Linked DNA regions of Stegostoma tigrinum. The protein of the gene in region 3 binds, or shares a complex with, the protein of the main gene of each other region. Links are inferred from orthologs where the notes say so. Each region holds a gene or a part of one and is shown on either strand. Other genes may lie near its edges.

What was found.
Region 1: lsm3 (region 3) and lsm6 share a complex: the UniProt entries of both Homo sapiens proteins name them as parts of the precatalytic spliceosome. The link is inferred for Stegostoma tigrinum from reciprocal best matches to the Homo sapiens genes LSM3 and LSM6.
Region 2: lsm3 (region 3) and smx5 share a complex: the UniProt entries of both Homo sapiens proteins name them as parts of the precatalytic spliceosome. The link is inferred for Stegostoma tigrinum from reciprocal best matches to the Homo sapiens genes LSM3 and LSM2.

Annotation. Positions count from the first base shown.
Region 1 is NC_081354.1:46,944,125-46,950,164, forward strand, and holds the start of lsm6 (U6 snRNA-associated Sm-like protein LSm6), read left to right. Parts: upstream 1-2,028; 5' UTR 2,029-2,068; coding exon 2,069-2,162; intron 2,163-4,630; coding exon 4,631-4,744; intron 4,745-6,040. UniProt on the Homo sapiens protein: Plays a role in pre-mRNA splicing as component of the U4/U6-U5 tri-snRNP complex that is involved in spliceosome assembly, and as component of the precatalytic spliceosome (spliceosome B complex).
Region 2 is NC_081387.1:26,630,897-26,636,936, reverse strand, and holds the start of smx5 (smx5), read right to left. Parts: upstream 3,639-6,040; 5' UTR 3,540-3,638; coding exon 3,537-3,539; intron 330-3,536; coding exon 262-329; intron 1-261. UniProt on the Homo sapiens protein: Plays a role in pre-mRNA splicing as component of the U4/U6-U5 tri-snRNP complex that is involved in spliceosome assembly, and as component of the precatalytic spliceosome (spliceosome B complex).
Region 3 is NC_081364.1:2,891,373-2,897,412, reverse strand, and holds the start of lsm3 (snRNA-associated Sm-like protein LSm3), read right to left. Parts: upstream 3,718-6,040; 5' UTR 3,637-3,717; coding exon 3,616-3,636; intron 1-3,615. UniProt on the Homo sapiens protein: Plays a role in pre-mRNA splicing as component of the U4/U6-U5 tri-snRNP complex that is involved in spliceosome assembly, and as component of the precatalytic spliceosome (spliceosome B complex).

The DNA.
Region 1 (6,040 bases), on a different chromosome or scaffold from region 3:
GCAACTGAGTAAAGTTTTAATCCACTTTATCAGATTACCCTGTATCCTGTGTGCATTTGCCTTCATGATAGGTCTCCCGTGTGGGACCTTGTCAAAGGCTTTGCTGAAATCCATATAAACTGCAGCAACTGCACCACCCTTTTCTATACACTGGTCACCACATCAAAAAATTCAATCAAATTTGTTAGCATGATCTCCCTCTGCCAAAGCTATGCTGACCATCTCTGATCAAACCTTTCCTCTCCAAGTGGAGGTAGATGCTCTCCTTCAGGGTTCTTTGGCTTATTTCTGCAACCTTCCTTAAATATCAGAACCACGTTAGTCCTCTGGTACCTCACCTGGAGCCAGAGAGGAATTAAAAATTTGGGTCAGTGGCATTGCAATCTCCTCCTTGTCCTCCTACAACAGCCAAGGACACAATTTCATTTTTTCCTTTATTCATTCATGGGATGAGGGTGTGGCTGGCTTGGCAGCATTTATTGCCCATCCCTAATTGCCAAGAGGGCAATTAAAAGTCAACCACATTGCTACAGACCTGGAGTCACATGTAGGCCAGACTAGCTAATGAAGGTGGTTTCCTTCTCTAGAGGACATTAGTGAACCAGATGGGTTTTTCCAACAATGACATTTGATCCATGGTCATCATTAGACTCTTAATTCCAGATACTTATTAAATTCAAATGCTACCATTGGCCATGGTGGAATTCAAATCCAGGTCCCCAGAACATTATCTGGGTCTCTGGATTAACAGTCCAGCGATAATACCAGTAGGCCTTTTTGTTTGGACCCAGAGATTTGTTCATCTTTAAGCCTGCCAGCACCTCCAAAACCTTGTCCTTCCCTATGGCAATTTGCTCAAGCACCTCGCAGTCTCTTTCCCCCAGGGTTCTATATCTTCATCTTCATTTTCTTAAGTGAAGATAGATGATATTGGGTCACGACTTTACCTTTGTCCTCTGGCCCCAGCCACAAATTGCCCACTTGTTCCCTAATGGGGCCTGCTCTCACCGTGGTTACACTCTTTCCCCCTTGATGTATTTATACTTGTAGAATATCTCTTGGTGTTTTCCCTACTTTTACCATATCCCCTTTTGCTTTCCTAATTGCCATTAATCTCCATTAATGCCTCTGCTTGTGCCTGCCTCTTTTCTCCCTTCTTATCGTATCCTGAATATCTCTGATCATCCATGGTTCTCTGGGCTTGTTATTCTTTCCCGTATCCCTGGAGGGAACATGTTAGGCTTGTACCCTCTCCATTTACTTTTTGAATGTTCCCCACTGTTCTTCTGTAGTTTTCCTCACTAGTCTACCAGATCCTAATGTATTTTACTAAAATCTGCCCTTTGCCTCCATCCAAAACTCTTTTTTTCTTGCAAGTTACCTATTTCTTTTTCTATATTCAGCTTAAATTATACCATGTTGTGATTGCTATCACTAAAATGCTCCCTCACCACCACCAGAATTGGGACCAGGACCCTCTGTATATTGGCCTAAAAGGTTCTCCTGTACATATTTCAAGAAATTCACTCAATCCAAGCACTTAACATTATGTCTATCCCAGGTAATGTTGGGAAAGTTGAAATCACATGTTATAATTATCCTTAGTTGTTATTTTTACACACATCAACAAATGGTGCAAAAATTTGCTCCTCAATTTCCTGTCAGCTCTCTGGGAGTCTACAATAAACACTTAGCAATCCAGCTGTCCCTTTTTTATTCCTAAACTCTACCTACAAAACTTCATCCACAATTTAAATAACAAATTATATTGAAGTTCTCTTTCTTTCCTGGAAGTATCCAGCTTTTACTCTGCAATTAATTTAAATTACTAAATTTAAATTGATGCTTTTGGAGATAAAGAAAGAATTTTCTGCTAATACTAGCCACTGCCTTTTTGCTTGTCATTCACTCATCCTCTTTCTCACTAGTGCTCTCAACTGATGATAACAGTTTGTTATAATTGTAGAAGCCCATGTCAGTTCTTTGCAAAGTTGGTTCTGAATTATGTGTGCTTGTATTGTCATTTAGGAAATGTTTCTGTTCTGATGCAGGCTGAAGGATTAAAAAAATGAGCCTGCGAAAGCAAACACCAAGTGATTTTCTAAAACAGATCATCGGGAGACCAGTGGTAGTCAAACTGAACTCGGGCGTGGATTATCGAGGTACGGTAAGCCCTCACTTAAAATTGTATTTGAATTCCTGAAAATTTCAACTTCAAGTGAAATAACTGAGTGAACCATGAGTTGCCATAGGGATCAGGTTTAAAACTACTGTTGGGACCTTTTGGACATTCGTTCCTGGACAAACCAAATGAACAAGTCAAAATAGCATTTTTCACATGTGCAACACTGCATTCCTATTGAAATAATTTGCAAAACAGAACAAGTCATTTGAAATGTTAAAGAAATTCTATATAAATTGAAGAGGGCTATGCAATAAGAGCCAGACGTGAGAATACATGTGGTTGGATAGCTGCTTCAAAAGCCAGCACCAAAGTGATAGGCCGAATAACTTTCTTTTGTGGTGTAAAATTTTGATTAGTCCATGATTCAAGAGAAGTTAAAGGAAGGTCCCTAATCCTAGTCCACTATCCCTTAATCTAACTTCCTCAGGTAGTCTTATTGTATTTTCTTCTGTAAGCTTCTGGAACCTTTTCCCCTTCCCACCTCGTATAGTGCTTCCAGTCTTACAGTGAAGTGCATTTTTAAAAAAAATCACAGAATGCTGTATTTTCATTTTTGCATTTTTTAATCTCCTCCATATTTAGTGTGTAGTTGCCCTGATGATTTTCTTTCTGTCATTATTAGCTCTTAGGACAAAACATTTAATCCTGTACCATGGATATAAGCCCTACAGTCCCTTCAAATGAATTTCCAGTCTTCTTTGCCTGAATTTCAATAGATTGTCATAATATAAAAATTCACTTGTAACCTAATTCACAGCTATGATGTTCAACTTCAGTGTTGCACGTTTCTGTTGGCAAGTGCGTTCACAAACTTGGTAAAATCAGAAGTCATGCCGTAAATTGATTAGGGAAACAGGCCTTGAAGAATAAATATCTTTAAAACAAAACAATGCGAAACAAAACCACTTAAAGTGAGGACTTACTGTATTGGAATCGTCCCCCTCAGCTGCTTAAACGCTAGTTTAAAAAAGACCGGGTCACAAAATCACCGAAGACTTTTTGGCAAAGAAGGAGGCCTTCTATCTGCACTGTTAAATGAGCATCATTACCCAGAGCTGATTTCCTGCTTTCCCCCCAAGCCCTTGCATATAATTTCAGCTGGTGAGTTCATGAATGCCTCAATGGAACCTAATTCCACCACAATTCTAGGCAGTAAATTCCATACCCTAACTGAAGGAAGGTAATTTTCCTCACTTCACCCTTGCTTACTTTGCACTCTAGATCACTTCATATCTATGTTCTTGAAACAAATAAGAACAGTTTCTCGCTGTCACTCTCCTGTCTAGCCCTTACATGATCTTGAAAACCTCTATCAGATCTACGCTTAGCCTTTTACAAATCGCTTCAGCAATTTGTTCAATGTGTTCACATCTTTCCGATAACATGGCACCCACAACTGTACCCAGTACTCTAGCAGAGGTCTAACAAGTGTCTATATAAGTTCAGCATCACCTCCTTGCTCTTGCACTCCACTAATTAATCTGTGGCTACTGTATGCTTTATTTATTGCTCTCCCTTTATCTGTCCTGCCACTTTCAAAGATCTGTGCACATACACACCCAGGTCCCTATGCTCTTGCATCCTCCATAGTGTGCCTACTATTTAATATTGGCTTTCAATGTTCTTCCTACCAAAGTGTTTCAACCTGCACTTCTCTGCATTGAAATGCATCTACTGCCCATGTGCCCACTCCACCAACCTTTTCCGCACTATATATCTTTTGCAAGCTTTGAAATTGCCCCTGCACATCAAGATCCAGATAATTAATATCTATCAGGAGAAGCAAGGGCCCCAATACTGACCCCTGGGGATCTCCTCTTAAAAACCTTTGCCCAGTCTAAAAATATATTACTCTATTCATTTTGCTAGTGACCCTTTTATAACATGAGCTATAACTTTCCTCACAGGTCTGTGTTGTGGCACTGTACCAAACACCTTTTCAATATCCGTGTGCACCACCTCAACAATGTTATCTTCTTCAAGCATTTTTGTTTCCTGTTCAGAAAGCTCCAAGTTAGTTTAACACCATTTTCCACTTTAGGAAGAATCAGTGTGGATTTCTAATCAACCCGCCATTTTCCATGTGTTTATTAATTCTATCCTGAATAATTGTCTCAAAACTTCCCCAATGCTGAAATTAACCTGATTAGTCTGTAATGATTGGCTTATCCTTGGCATCTCCTCCAAGACCAGGGGAGACTGAAAGATTGTGGCCAGTACCCCTGCAATTTCCACGCTCATTATATAAATGATGAAAAGTAATGGACCCAACGTTGACCCTTGTGGCACACCACTGGCCACAGGCCCCCAGTCTGAAAAGCAACTGTACATCACCACCCATGATCTTCTACCTTGGAGCCAGTTCTGCATCATTGCTATGTTACACCGAACATTCTAATAATGGGTTTTAATAAATTTTAATTACAGTTGTATCATTTTTGCCAGGTGTTTTGGCCTGTCTGGATGGTTATATGAATATAGCATTGGAACAAACAGAAGAATATGTAAATGGTCAACTTAAGAACAAGTATGGAGATGCATTTATTCGAGGCAACAATGGTAAATTCACTTCTTTCCTTTCTAAATAAAATTTGAAAGTTATGCTTTATAATGGACTGTAAAACTACAACTGTATATTGAGAAAGTTTTTGAAAAAAAGCATTCTTCCCAGGACTGATTAGTTGCTTGCATGACTCTTTTGTGCTTTCTGTCTGACACTGTTTCTTTCAGTATTTTGTTTCTGTATCATTTTCTGTCTCTTTCCTGAAGAAAACCATGCTGTTTGTTTTAAAACACACTAAATCCTTGATGCCCATGAGGAATAGAGCGTGGACCTCCCACAGATACCCAAAAAACATGAATACCATGGATATGCTAAGCCTTTCCTCTATGCAGCCAATACATGCCCAATGAAATAGAAGCATGCCCCATGTTGGAAAAGCATTGAAACATTTCAACAAATACAGTTAAACTTCTAAATATATGCATTACTTAAAAGGAAATTATATTACTGTAGTTAACAAAGCAATATTTTGTAGTAAAAATGCATAGGCAGTGCAGTACTCTATTCAATACTGGTACAGTATTAGATGAAATATGCAGGATCTTAGTTGATGTCTGACAGCATCAACTGTTGATGAGGAAATGGCGACTGGAAGCAAGACGGTAGCAAGGAAGAGGTATGCAGTTAAGGTTTCATCTGCTGGCTGTGCACTTGCTTGGCTTTTGTAAAGTGCATCGTATAGGAAGTTGTCATAACTTCTTTAATTCATTATTAATCTCTGCTTAAGGAACCAAAGCATTTGCTAGATCCTCTTTGACTCAAATGCTGTGCCCGAGAAGGATCATGTTTAAACAATATAGACAGTAGGAACTGCCGATGCTGGAGAATTTGAAATAACAAGGTGTAGAGCTGGATGAACACAGCAGGCCAGGCAGCATCAGAGGAGCAGGAAAGCTGATGTTTCAGGCTTGGACCCTTCAGAAAATTTTCTGATGAAGGGTCCAGACCTGAAACATCAGCGTTCCTGCTGTGTTCATCCAGCTCCATACCTTATTGTCTCGTATTTAAACAATTTATCTGTCAGTGCTTTTGATCATCTCACTAAAACATCTAATTCCTCCTCCTATTAATCTGAACATGCTCTAGAACCTCACCATCCCAACTGAAATCTCCAGTTACAACGTCTTTCTGTTTTGTGAATACAGATGAGAAACATTCCTTTAAGACCTCACCTGCATGCTCTGGCTCCATGCTCAGAATGCCCCTTTGGTTCCCAAAAGGCCCCACTCTATCCCTGGTAATCTGGTTGTTTTAATATACTTACAAAATACCTAGGAGTTTTCCTTAATTGT
Region 2 (6,040 bases), on a different chromosome or scaffold from region 3:
AAGAGCAACGGCTAGACAAATTAAAAAAGAACACACTGATCTTAAATAAGCTCATGCAGTATTCCACTGAGCAGTCACATTTAGACTGTATGTGTAGCCACTTATCACCTTATAAATGAAGGCATCATTTATTGCAATATTCCTTTTTGTTTTGAAGAAAAGTTAACGCCACTAGTAGAGAGCTTGGTCACAACACTCACCAATGACATTACTTATACAGCCACACTTCACCCTACTGACACAAGCACAAGGAGAACTTACCTGAGATCATTCTTTAACTCGACAACAACATCTTTCCCAACTAGGGATTTGAAAAACGAATAAAACAACTGAAACAAAGATAAAAGAATGAGCTCAGGAATTCTTGTGTAATCAAAACAGCTAAATTTAAAACTTTGTTGGATCATGTGTGAATAAAGGGAGTCAGCATGGCTTTGAGGGGGGCAGGTCATGCCTTACAAATCTTATTGAGTTCTTTGAGGAAGTCACGAGACAGGTTGATGAGGGTCGAGCAGTGGACGTGGTGTACATGGACTTCAGCAAGGCATTTGATAAGGTTCCCCACGGCAGGCTCATTCATAAAGTCAGGAGGTATGGGATACAGGGTGATTTGGCTGACAGGAGGCAGGGAGTGGTTGTAGATGGTAAGTATTCTGCCTGGAGGTCAGTGCTGAATGGTGTCCCGCAGAGCTCTGTTCTTGGGCTTCTGCTCTTTGTACTTTTTATAAATGACTTGGATGAGGAGGTTGAGGGGTGGGTTAGTATGTTTGCTGATGACAAAGGTTGGAGGTGCCGTTGATAGTATCGAGGGCTATTGCTAGCTTCAGTGAGACATTGACAGAACGCAGAGCTGGGCTGAGAAATGGCAGATGGAGTTCAACCTGGATAAATGCGAAGTGATGCATTTTGGAAGGTCGAACTTAAATGCTGAATTTAGGATTAAAGGCAGGATTCTCGGCAGTGTGGAGGAACAGCGGGATCTTGGTGTTCAAGTGCATAGCTCCCTCAAAGTTGCCACCCAAGTGGATAAGGTTGTTAAGAAAGCATATGGTGTTTTGGCTTTCATTAACAAGGGGATCGAGTTTAAGAGCCACGAGGTTATGCTGCAGCTCTACAGAACCCTGGTGAGACCACACTTGGAATATTGTGTCCAGTTCTGGTTGCCCTATTATAGGAAAGATGTGGAGGCTTTGGAGAGGGTGCAAAGGAGGTTTACCAGGATGCTGCCTGGACTGGAGGGCTTGTCATGAGGAGAGGTTGACTGAGCTTGGACTTTTCTCTCTGGAGAGAAGGAGGAAGAGAGGTGACCTGATCGAGGTGTACAAGGTAATGAGAGGCATGGATAGAGTCGATAGCCAGAGACTTTTCCCCAGGGCAGGATTGAATGCCACGAGGGGTCATAGTTTTAAGGTGTTAGGAGGAAGGTACAGAGGAGACGTCAGAGGGAGGTTCTTCACCCAGAGAGCTGTGAGCGCATGGAATACTTTACCAGTGGTAGTCGTGGAAGCAGAATCATTAGTGACATTTAAGTGACTGCTGGACATGCACATGGACAGCAGTGAATTGAGGGGAATGTAGGTTAGGTTATTTTATTTTTGGATTAAGATTATTCCACGGCACAACATCGTGGGCTGAAGGGCCTGTACTGTGCTGTACTTTTCTATGTTCTATGGCAAAGCTCAACAACTTCCTGCGCTTGACTGAGTCAAATGGTTATGACATTAAGTTGCTTTTTAAAAATTCTTTAAATGGAATGTGGGAATGACCAGCACAGCCACCACCCTTCTCCTTTACCCAATCTCTCTCTTCGCGCTCTCTCTTGCCTCCTTACTATCTCTCTCCCTCCCCTCCCCCTTTCCTCTGTGTCTCTCCTTCCCTCCCCCAATCTGTGAAACTCTCCACTCTTCCTTCCATCCTTCTCTCCTACTCACCCAATGAGACACACACAGTCTCTCTCTCTCTCTCTCTCTCTCTCCCCCCCCTCCCCCTCTCACCCCCCACCCCTCACCATCACTATAGGGCTCTGTCTAGAACACAGAACATAGAACACTACAGCGCAGTACAGGCCCTTCGGCCCTCAATGTCACGCCAACCTGTGAAACCAAACTGAAGCCCATCTAACCTACACTATTCCATTATTATCCATATGCTTATCCAATGACCATTTAAATGCCCTTAAACTTAGGCAAGTCTACAACTGTTGCAGGCAGGGCATTCCACGCTCTTACTACTCTGAGTAAAGAACCTACCTCTATATCTGTCCTATATCTATTACCCCTCAATTTAAAGCTATGTCCCCTCATGTTAGCCATCACTATCTGAGGAAAAAGGCTCTCACTGTCTACCCTATCTAATCCTCTGATCATCTCGTATGTCTCTATTAGGTTACCTCTTAACCTTCTTCTGTCTAATGAAAACAGCGTCAAGTCTCTCAGCCTTTCCTCATAAGGCCTTCCCTCCATACCAGGCAACATCCTGGTAAATATCCTCTGCACCCTTTCCAACGCTTCCACATCCTTCCTATAATGCAGCGACTAGGACTGTAAGCAATACTCCACGTGCAGCCGCAGAGTTTTGTACACGTGCAACATGACCTCATGGCTCCGAAACTCAATCCCTCTACCAATAAAACTTAACACACCGTACACCTTCTTAACAACCCTATCAACCTGGGTGGCAACTTTCAGGGATCGATGTACATGGACACAAGGATCTCTCTGCTCATCCACACTACCAAGAATCTTACTATTAGCCCAGTACTCTGGATTCCTGTTGCTCCTTCCAAAGTGAATCACCTCACACTTTTTCATATTAAACTCCATTTGCCACCTCTCAGCTCATCTCTGCAGCTTATCTAATGTCCCTCTGTAACCCACCACATCCTTCCACACTCTCCATAACTCCACCGACTTTAGTGTCATCTGCAAATTTACTAACCCATCCTTCTATGCTCTCATCCAGGTCATTTATAAAAATTACAAACAGCAGTGGCCCCAAAACAGATCCTTGCGGTACACCACTAGTAACTAGTCTCCAGGATGAACACTTCCCATCAACTACCACCCTCTGTCTTCTTTCAACTAGCCAACTTCTGATCCAAACCGCTAAATCACCCTCAATCACATGCCTCCGCATTTTATGCAATAGCCTACCGTAGGGTCTTTCAACCTGCTTCTCTACTCCGTCCCCCGGTCTGGTCTCTGTGAGACAGTCACTCACACTCTATCTCCGTCCCTATCCCTCCACTTCCTACCTCCTCACTCACTCACTCTTGCCCCCCGGCCTGGTCCCTGTCCCTGTGAGACTCTCTCCCTCAACCCCCCCGGCCCGGTCCCTGTAAGACTCTCCCTCACCACCCCACCCCGGGCCCGGTCCCTGTGAGACTCTCTCTCCCCCCCGGGCCCGGTCCCTGTGAGACTCTCTCTCCCTCCCCGGGCCCGGTCCCTGTGAGACTCTCTCTCCCTCCCCGGGCCCGGTCCCTGTGAGACTCTCTCTCCCCCCCGGGCCCGGTCTCTCTCAGACCCTCTCTCACTCACCATGGCACCGACAATGACGGCAGCTCCCAGTCAAACCGGTTCAAACCCGCGGCGCCTGCGCGCGGACGGACCGCCCGATATCGCGAGAATTCCGCCGATCCCTGCCCACTGTGTCACCTGTGTTCCCGCCTTTTCGTTTGATTGACGTGCTACCAGCCTGCCAAGCGGCTGGAAGTATTCATCCGGCTGCACATTGGGCTTAAGGCGAGAGGGGAAAGATTTAAAAGGGATTCGAGGGGCTACGTTCCCGCGCAGAGGGTGGTGTACATGTTGTTTGAGCTGCTGGAGGCGAATACAGTTACAATGACAACATTTAGAAGACGTTTGGACGGGTACGTGGTTAGGAGGGATATTGTCCAAGTGCAGGTAGGTAGAGTTCAGTTTAGGAAACCTGGTCGCCCTGTAATTGGCCAAAGGGTCGGTTTCCATGCTGCATGAGTTTGACTCAAAAGTTCTGTGAACACTTGAGAGAAATACACCAGCAGGGATGCTGGGATAGACCAGAGTAACAAGATTGATAAGGCTGCTGTACTAGAGCTAACGTGGATTAAATGGATGGAATGGCCACCTCCTGTCCTTTCATGACTCAATGAGTGAAACAAAGCTAATCATTCAGGCTGATGACTCTTCATCCAGTACTGGATAAAGCTAGAGATGCAACAACTTTGCTGCAAGTACAGGGGCAGAGCAAGAGGAGATTAGAGGAAAGAACAAGAGAGAATGCCTGTGAGATGGTTGAAGAGATGAAATGCACCTTCCCTGTGAGGCTGAATGCAAACTGAAGATTAGGCAACTTACCTTTTCATTGTAACGCAGTGTGGAGCTGGAGGAACACAGCAGGCCAGGCAGCATCAGAGGAGTAGGAAAGTTGATTTTTTTTAGGGTAAGGATGCTTCTTCAGAATTTCTGGATTTCTGAAGAAGGGTCCTGACCTGAAACATCAACTTTCCTACTCCTTTACTGCCTCTGACACCAGCATTGACTGTTCTTACTATCTCATCTTTCAATAAGGCAGTTTGTAAGATCACACAGAAATTTCTGATCATAGCTTTTGACTCCATTTTGTAACTTTAAAAATCTTTTTTTAAATGCCATTTGATGCTGATTTATATCCTTTCACCACACACCTTTGGCATTTTCACACCTAATTGTCACCCCAATTTTAGCGTACCCCATGTACCATCATCCTTTTCTTCATTTGATTTCTGCTGCCTTCCAGCCTATCATAAACCTTCCATCTTGTCGTCATCTTCTACTCTCACTCTTCCTCGTCATCGTCAATCCCACATCTGTTTATCTTGCACTGGGGTGGAATGTACTGCCAGGTGTGGTGGTGGTGAAGGCAGATACAATAGAGGCAATAGGATTTTTAGATAAGCCCATGAATATGCAAGGAATGGTGGGATATTTTTCAAGGGCAGGAAGGGATTAGTTTCATTTGGTGTCCTTTTTGGCACAACATAGTGGGCTGAAGGGCCCATTCCTGTGCTGTGCAGTTCTGTGTTCATGCCTGACCAGGATTTCATTCAGAATACTGCTGAAGTGATACATTTCCTGGAAAGTACAGTGAGACAGGTCACGGCATCATATGTGACTCAGTTGTCAAGGGAAAGAAGAAGACAGGATGTGTGATAGTGGTGGAAGCGTCTTAGTTCAGAGAATAGAATGTTTTCTTTCACCCACAGATGTTACTCCAGGATGTCAGAGTGCCTTTCTTTTGTAAGGATGCAGGATGTCACTAGGCAGTTGCAAACATGGTGAAATGGGGGTTGATCAGCTGGAGATCATAGTTCATATAGGTACCAACAACAGACGTAAATGAGGATTCAGATTCAGCAGGCATGTTTTAGGGAGATAAAGGAGAGTTTATTAAGCAGGAAGTCAACATCAGTATTCAGTAATGAGGCCCAATCCTCATCATGAAAAAGGGTGACGTGAGAGCAAAGTTGCAAGGCTTACCCATTAAGATGCAGGAGTAAAATTACACCATTTGACCCATCAAGGTGCTCCATCATTCAATTCAATCATGGTTGATCTGATAAGCCTCAACTACTTATCTACCTTTCTCCCATAACCCTTCTTTCCCTTACTGACTAAATCCTGTCTATCTCAGCCTTGAGGGAGGCCAGGGAAAAAATTGCTAAAGCATTGAAGGACATCTTTGGGCACAGTTGAGGTCGCAGGGGACTGAAGAATAGCCAATGTTGTGCCATTATTTAAGAAAGGTAACAGGGATAATCCTGGAAATTACAGGCTATGAGTCTTACATCAGTGGTAGGGAAATTAGTGGAAAAGTCTCAGAGCCAAAATATAAATGCGTTTTGAAGCAAATGGACTTATTAACGATAGACAGCATGGTTTTGCAGGGAGGTCGTGCTTCACTAACTTGATCAAGTGTTTTTAGGAGGTGATAAAGATGATTGATGGGGAAAGAGCGTTTGATGTTGTCCGTGTGGATTTCAGTAAAGCCTTTGACAAGGTCCCTTGTGGCAGATTGGTACAAA
Region 3 (6,040 bases):
TAATCCGTTTCTGTTTCAACTTCCACATTCACATTTACTCCCAATTAACTTGGATTCTCCTGCCTGGCAAAAGCGTATCTACCACTGAATTAAAAATATTCAATGATATTGTCTCCACCACTTTCTCTGGCAGTGAATTCCAAAATCTCTCAACCCTCAGAAGCATGAACCACAAGAGGAAAACATACGAGTGCAGCAGCCCATAGGGAAGACTAATAGATCGCTAGTCATTATTTCAAAGGGAATGGAATATAAAAACACATCAATCTTGCTAAAATTATAAAAGGTACTAGTATGATCATACCTCCCAATCTTTGTGCCATCTGCAAATGTAGTTGCTATAAGCTCAATCCACACAAAGTCACTGACATAAACTATAAAATATTGTGGTTCCAGCATAGATCACTGTGGAACGTTAATCTTCATCACATCCTACCAGTCAGTAAAAGTCCTATTTATCTATACTTTCTAAGGGCACTTATCGCCATGTGGTAATGTCCTTAACTCAGGGCCAGAAGGACCAGATTCACATCTCACCTGCTCAAGAGATTCTTTTTTAAATTCACTAGTGGACATGAGCATCGCTGCCTAAGCCAGCATTTATTGCCTATCCCTAGTTGCTGTTGAGGTAGTGGTAGTAAGTTGCCTTCTTAAATCTCTCCACGCACTGTTGGTACACTCGCAACACCATTATGAAGGGAGATCCCGAGATATTGAATCAGTGACAGTGAAGGAACAGCAAAAAATTTCAAATCAGGAAGGTGAGTGGCTTGGAGGGAAACTTACAGGAGTGGTGTTCCCACATATCTGCTGCCCTTGTCCTTAAGAGGTGATCGGTTTGAAAGATTACGTTTAATATCTTCAATGAATACCTGCAATGCATCTTGTAGAAAGTACACACTGTTGCGTCAGTGGTGGATGGAGTGCCAATCAAGTGGTATGCTTTGATGGTGTTGAGCTTCTCGAGTGTTGTTTGAACTGCACTCATCCGAACAAGTGGGGAGTATTCCAACACACTCCAAACAGTACAGTACATGGTAGATCTTGCAGATAGTGGACAGGCTTTTAGAAGTCAGGAGGCGAGTTACTCACTGCCATATTCCTCGCCTCTGACCTGCCTTATAGCCAATGTATTCATATATATTTTCTTATCAACCTGAGATGGCATTACACACCTCTGGAGCAGGTGGTACTTGAACCCAGTGCCAGAGGTACAGACAGTACCAATGTGCCACAACTGTATTAATTTTGCAAATCTAATGGAGTTTCCGGTAATGGTAATCCCCAGACTGTTTATAATAGAGAATTCAGCGATGCCTCATGATGTTTGGGGGCTTTGGCAATGTTTAGATTCTCTTTTATAGGAGATGGTCATTGCCTTGCGTTTGTGTGGTGCGAATGTTACTTGCCACTTTTCAGTTCAAGCCTGGATACTATCTAGGCCTTACTGCATTTGTGTCATAATATGCCGAACAAGTTGGTTAAAAAATCTGCAAACTCTTTTCTACCTGCCAACTCTGTCCTTGTGCTAGTATTTTACTATCTACGCCATGAGCTCTCCTTTTCTGTGGAACTTTATCAAACTGCCTTCTGGATATCCAAGTCTAGTACATCGATGAGCCCCACTTCATCCACAGCTTGTTAATTCCTAAAACCTTCGATAGATTTGTTAAACATGATTTCCATTTTAAAAAACCAAGCTTGCTCTTTCCAATTATCTTGAGCTTTTCTAAACGCCCAGTTATAACCTCCTTAATGATCAACTCGTAACACCTTCCATGAAAGAACACGAAGCCGAGTTTCCTGTCTCCCTCCTTTCTGGGATAGAGGGGTTAATATTTGCTATTTTCCAATTTAATGGAACCTTTTCAGAATCAAGTGAATTTCAGAAAATTGAAAGCAATACATCCACTAACTTCGTTACCAATGTTTTAAGATTCTAGGGTAAAGTCCATATGAACCCAGGATCTTGAGTGCTCATAGCTCTATCAAACTGCTCAATGCCTTGCATGTAACAGCCTTGCCTGCCATATCGCAACACCCAATTCCCCAAATGTATGCCAGCCTTGTTCCCCCCTGTCTTTCACCTACCTCTATCCCATCAATACTGTCCTCAGACAATGGGCAGGACTCACACTCTGTCTCCCTTCCCCTGCTCTCTCTCCTACTTCCTGTTCCCTACAATTACTGTATCTCACCTACTCTCACCCCATCCCCACCTCACTCTCCTGAGCCCTTTCACCTCCTATATCTCCTCACCCTCCTTGATCTCTTCCTAATCGCCCTTCTCACCCCACACGTTGTTTCCCCCCCCAACCACTTCGCTGACCTCTCCCCTTCCTATTTTGTCCCCCCATTCCACCCACACCTCCCCCTACACGCTCTCTCCCCTGCCCTTCTCTCTCAATCACAATCCACTACCTAACACCCTTGTCCCCAAACCCTCTCTACTGGCTCTTGTCTCCCACAATCTCCCCAGCCATTTCCCTTTCTACCCCTATTTCCCCTTCCCTTGTCCTCCCGCATTCTCGCTCTTTCCCACTCTCTCCTCTCCCAACACTCTCTCTCTCCACTCTGTCCTCTCTCCCTCCCACACTCTCACTCACCCCTTCTCTCTACCCCCCTACTCATTTCCATGTTACAAAACCAAGGTTGCTCTTTCCAATTATCTTGAGCTGTTCTAAATGCCCACCTCCCCCACACTCCCCCCCCCCTCACCCACTCCCTCCCCCACTCCCCCCCCACCCCCACTCACCCACTCCACCCCCCCTCACACCCCCCCTCACCCACTCCACTCCCCCCCCTCACACCCCCCCTCACCCACTCCACTCCCCCCCCTCACACCCCCCCTCACCCACTCCACTCCCCCCCCTCACACCCCCCCTCACCCACTCCACTCCCCCCCCTCACACCCCCCCTCACCCACTCCACTCCCCCCCCTCACCCACTCCACTCCCCCCCCTCACCCACTCCACTCCCCCCCCTCACACCCCCCCTCACCCACTCCACTCCCCCCCCTCACACCCCCCCTCACCCACTCCACTCCCTCCCCTCACACCCCCCCTCACCCACTCCACTCCCCCCCCTCACACCCCCCCTCACCCACTCCACTCCCCCCCCTCACACCCCCCCTCACCCACTCCCCCCCCTCACACCCCCCCTCACTCTCCCTCCCCCTCCTCACACCCCCCCTCACTCTCCCTCCCCCTCCTCACACCCCCCCTCACTCTCCCTCCCCCTCCTCTCCCCCCACACTCTCCCCCCCCCTCACCCACTCCTCCCCCCCCTCACCCACTCCTCCCCCCCCTCACCCACTCCTCCCCCCCCTCACCCACTCCCCCCCTCACTCCCCCTCCTCTCCCCCCCCACTCTCCCTCCCCCCTCCCCACACTCTCCCTCCCCACACTCTCCCTCCCCACACTCTCCCTCCCCCCTCCCCACACTCTCCCTCCCCCCTCCTCTCCCTTTCACTCTCTCATTTATTCACACTCACACCCTCCCTCTCTTTTCGCCCCTTCCTGCCTTCCTTCTTCCTCCTCCTCCTACTACTTACTCACTCCTTCTTTCTTTCTTTTCTCTCACTCATTCACATTCCCCATCCCGGGTTTTTTTTACCTGGTCTCCCTCCTCCGCCATGGTTTGAATCCGGGTGACTGCAACCTGCGCATGCGTGCTGACCGCGTTGTGGTAGCGGCGGGGAGCGGGTCCTCCCGCTGCCGCGCCCCGCAGCGGCCGGGAGGAGGAGGAGGAGCGGGTGACTGGCGCGTGCGCGGTGCGGCGGGAAGGTGAGAGTGGGGATCAGTGCCCAGCTCTGGGCACATCTCTCCGCCTCCTTTTCTAACCTCCCCCCGCCCCCTTCTTCCGGGGGAAGCTGCTGTTGTATAACCCTGTTTTATAACAGGCGGCTGGAGAGCATCTGAGATTGACTGCACCTTTCCTCAAGTTACAGGAGGCGCGAACATGGCCAAAAGGAAAGGGTCAAAAACCCAAAGCTCAACCCAGGCTACCTGCAAAAGATTGAAGAAGGACTGCAGCAGAACTAAACCTGTCAGAGAGGGCCCAGTGAAGTGTGCAAAGCAGCTGCCTCCTGGTAACTATGCCTCAAGTTGCTTTTCCTCTTCATGCAGTGACTAATTTACAAACACTTTTAACCAAATGCAATGCAATCAGCCTCTGCCATCGTTCAGACCTTTACCATCCACCGCAGGAGTCATGATCATCAAGAACAAAACCAAAAGAGCTGCAGGTGCTGAGCTTTTCCAGCAGCTGAAAGCAGAAGTTGCTGGAAGAGCTCAGCAGGCCTGGCAGCGCCCGTGAAGGAGAAAGCAGAGTTTAGGGTCCGCTGACCCTTCCTCAGAACTGGAGGCCTCATAATCGTTAGCTGTGGTTGCTTTGGCACCTCTTGATTAGATGAGATTCCCTACAGCGTGGAAACAGGCCCTTCGGCCCAACGAGTCCACACCTCCTGAGAAAGGGGCTATATTTATACAGCACTTTTCATGGCCTCAAGGTGGTAGGAGATTGAAATTGCTGGTGAAACTCAGCAGGTCTGTCAGCATCTGTGCAGAGAAAGCAGAGTTAACGTTTCAAGTCCAGTGATCCTTCTTCAGAACACGGACTCCAAATGTTAACTCTGCCTCCTCTCCACACATGCTGCCAGACCCCCTACATTTCTCCAGCAATTCCTGTTGTTTCAGATTTTCAGCAAATGCCATTCTTTGTTTTATCATAGTAGAAGATTGAATTGGTGTAGAAAATTATGGCCCAGAGATAATGTTTTTTTTAAATCATTCAAATATAGACAGAGGTAGTAATGTTCCAAAGGATAGAAAGAGGGGGATAATGGTTCTTGATCCATGTTCAAGTCCCACCTGTCCTGGAGGATGCCATTACATCTCCAGGCAGTTTGATTACAAACAACAAGAGATCTATTTGGAGACTATGGTAACAAACTGAAGCTGGATGAACACAGCAGGCCAAGCAGCATCTTAGGAGCACAAAAGCTGATGTTTTGGGCCTAGACCTTTGGAGGCTATCTTTGATTCATTATAGTCACGTACCTAATTACAGTGAAATGTTTTGTTTTGCATGTGGTACAGGCAGATCATAGCAAACAAAGATATAAAAATCACAAGCTGCTTAGACAGAGCGAGAGCCTTTTTCCTAGGGTGATGACAGCGAGCACGAGGGGGCATAGCTTTAAATTGAGGGGTCAAAGATATAGGACAGATGTCACAGGTAGTTTCTTTACTCAGAGAGTAGTAAGGGAATGGAATGCTTTGCCTGAAACGGTAGTAGATTCGCCAACTTTAAGTACATTTAAGTCGTCATTGGACAAGCATATGGATGTACATGGAATAGTGTAGGTTAGATGGGCTTGAGATCGGTATGACAGGTCGGCACAACATCGAGGGCCGAAGGGCCTGTACTGTGCTGTAATGTTCTATGTTCTATGAGGCACAGGAGGTCACAGCCACATTAGAAGGTGCACAAAAGCAACACCAACATTATTGGAGGCTTGAGAGGTCCACTCAGCAGTCTGATAACATCAGGGAAGAAGCTGTTCTTGAACCTGTTGGTGTGTGCTTTCAACTTCAGTATTTTCTGCCTGACAGGGGAGTTTGGAAGAGAGCATTACCCTTTTCCATGGCAATGACAAGAGTAAGTGGAGCCCATGGCTACAATGTGTGACTGACAAGTACAAATCTGAACAACACTTTTAGAAGCTTAGAAAGGGGGAAGATGTTCTGTTTCAAAGTGTGGAGCTGGATGAACACAGCAGGCCCAGCAGCATCTCAGGAGCACAAAAGTTGACGTTTCGGGCCTAGACCCTTCATCAGAAAAGCTTTTGTGCTCCTGAGATGCTGCTGGGCCTGCTGTGTTCATCCAGCCTCACATTTTATTATCTTGGATTCTCCAGCATCTGCAGTTCCCATTATCTCAGATGTTCTGTATCAGTCTGATTTCAGACCAAAGGAGAAGGCATTGATGGATTCAATTCTGGGGAATGAGGTGCATCTAATTTTATTGAAGGAGGGCT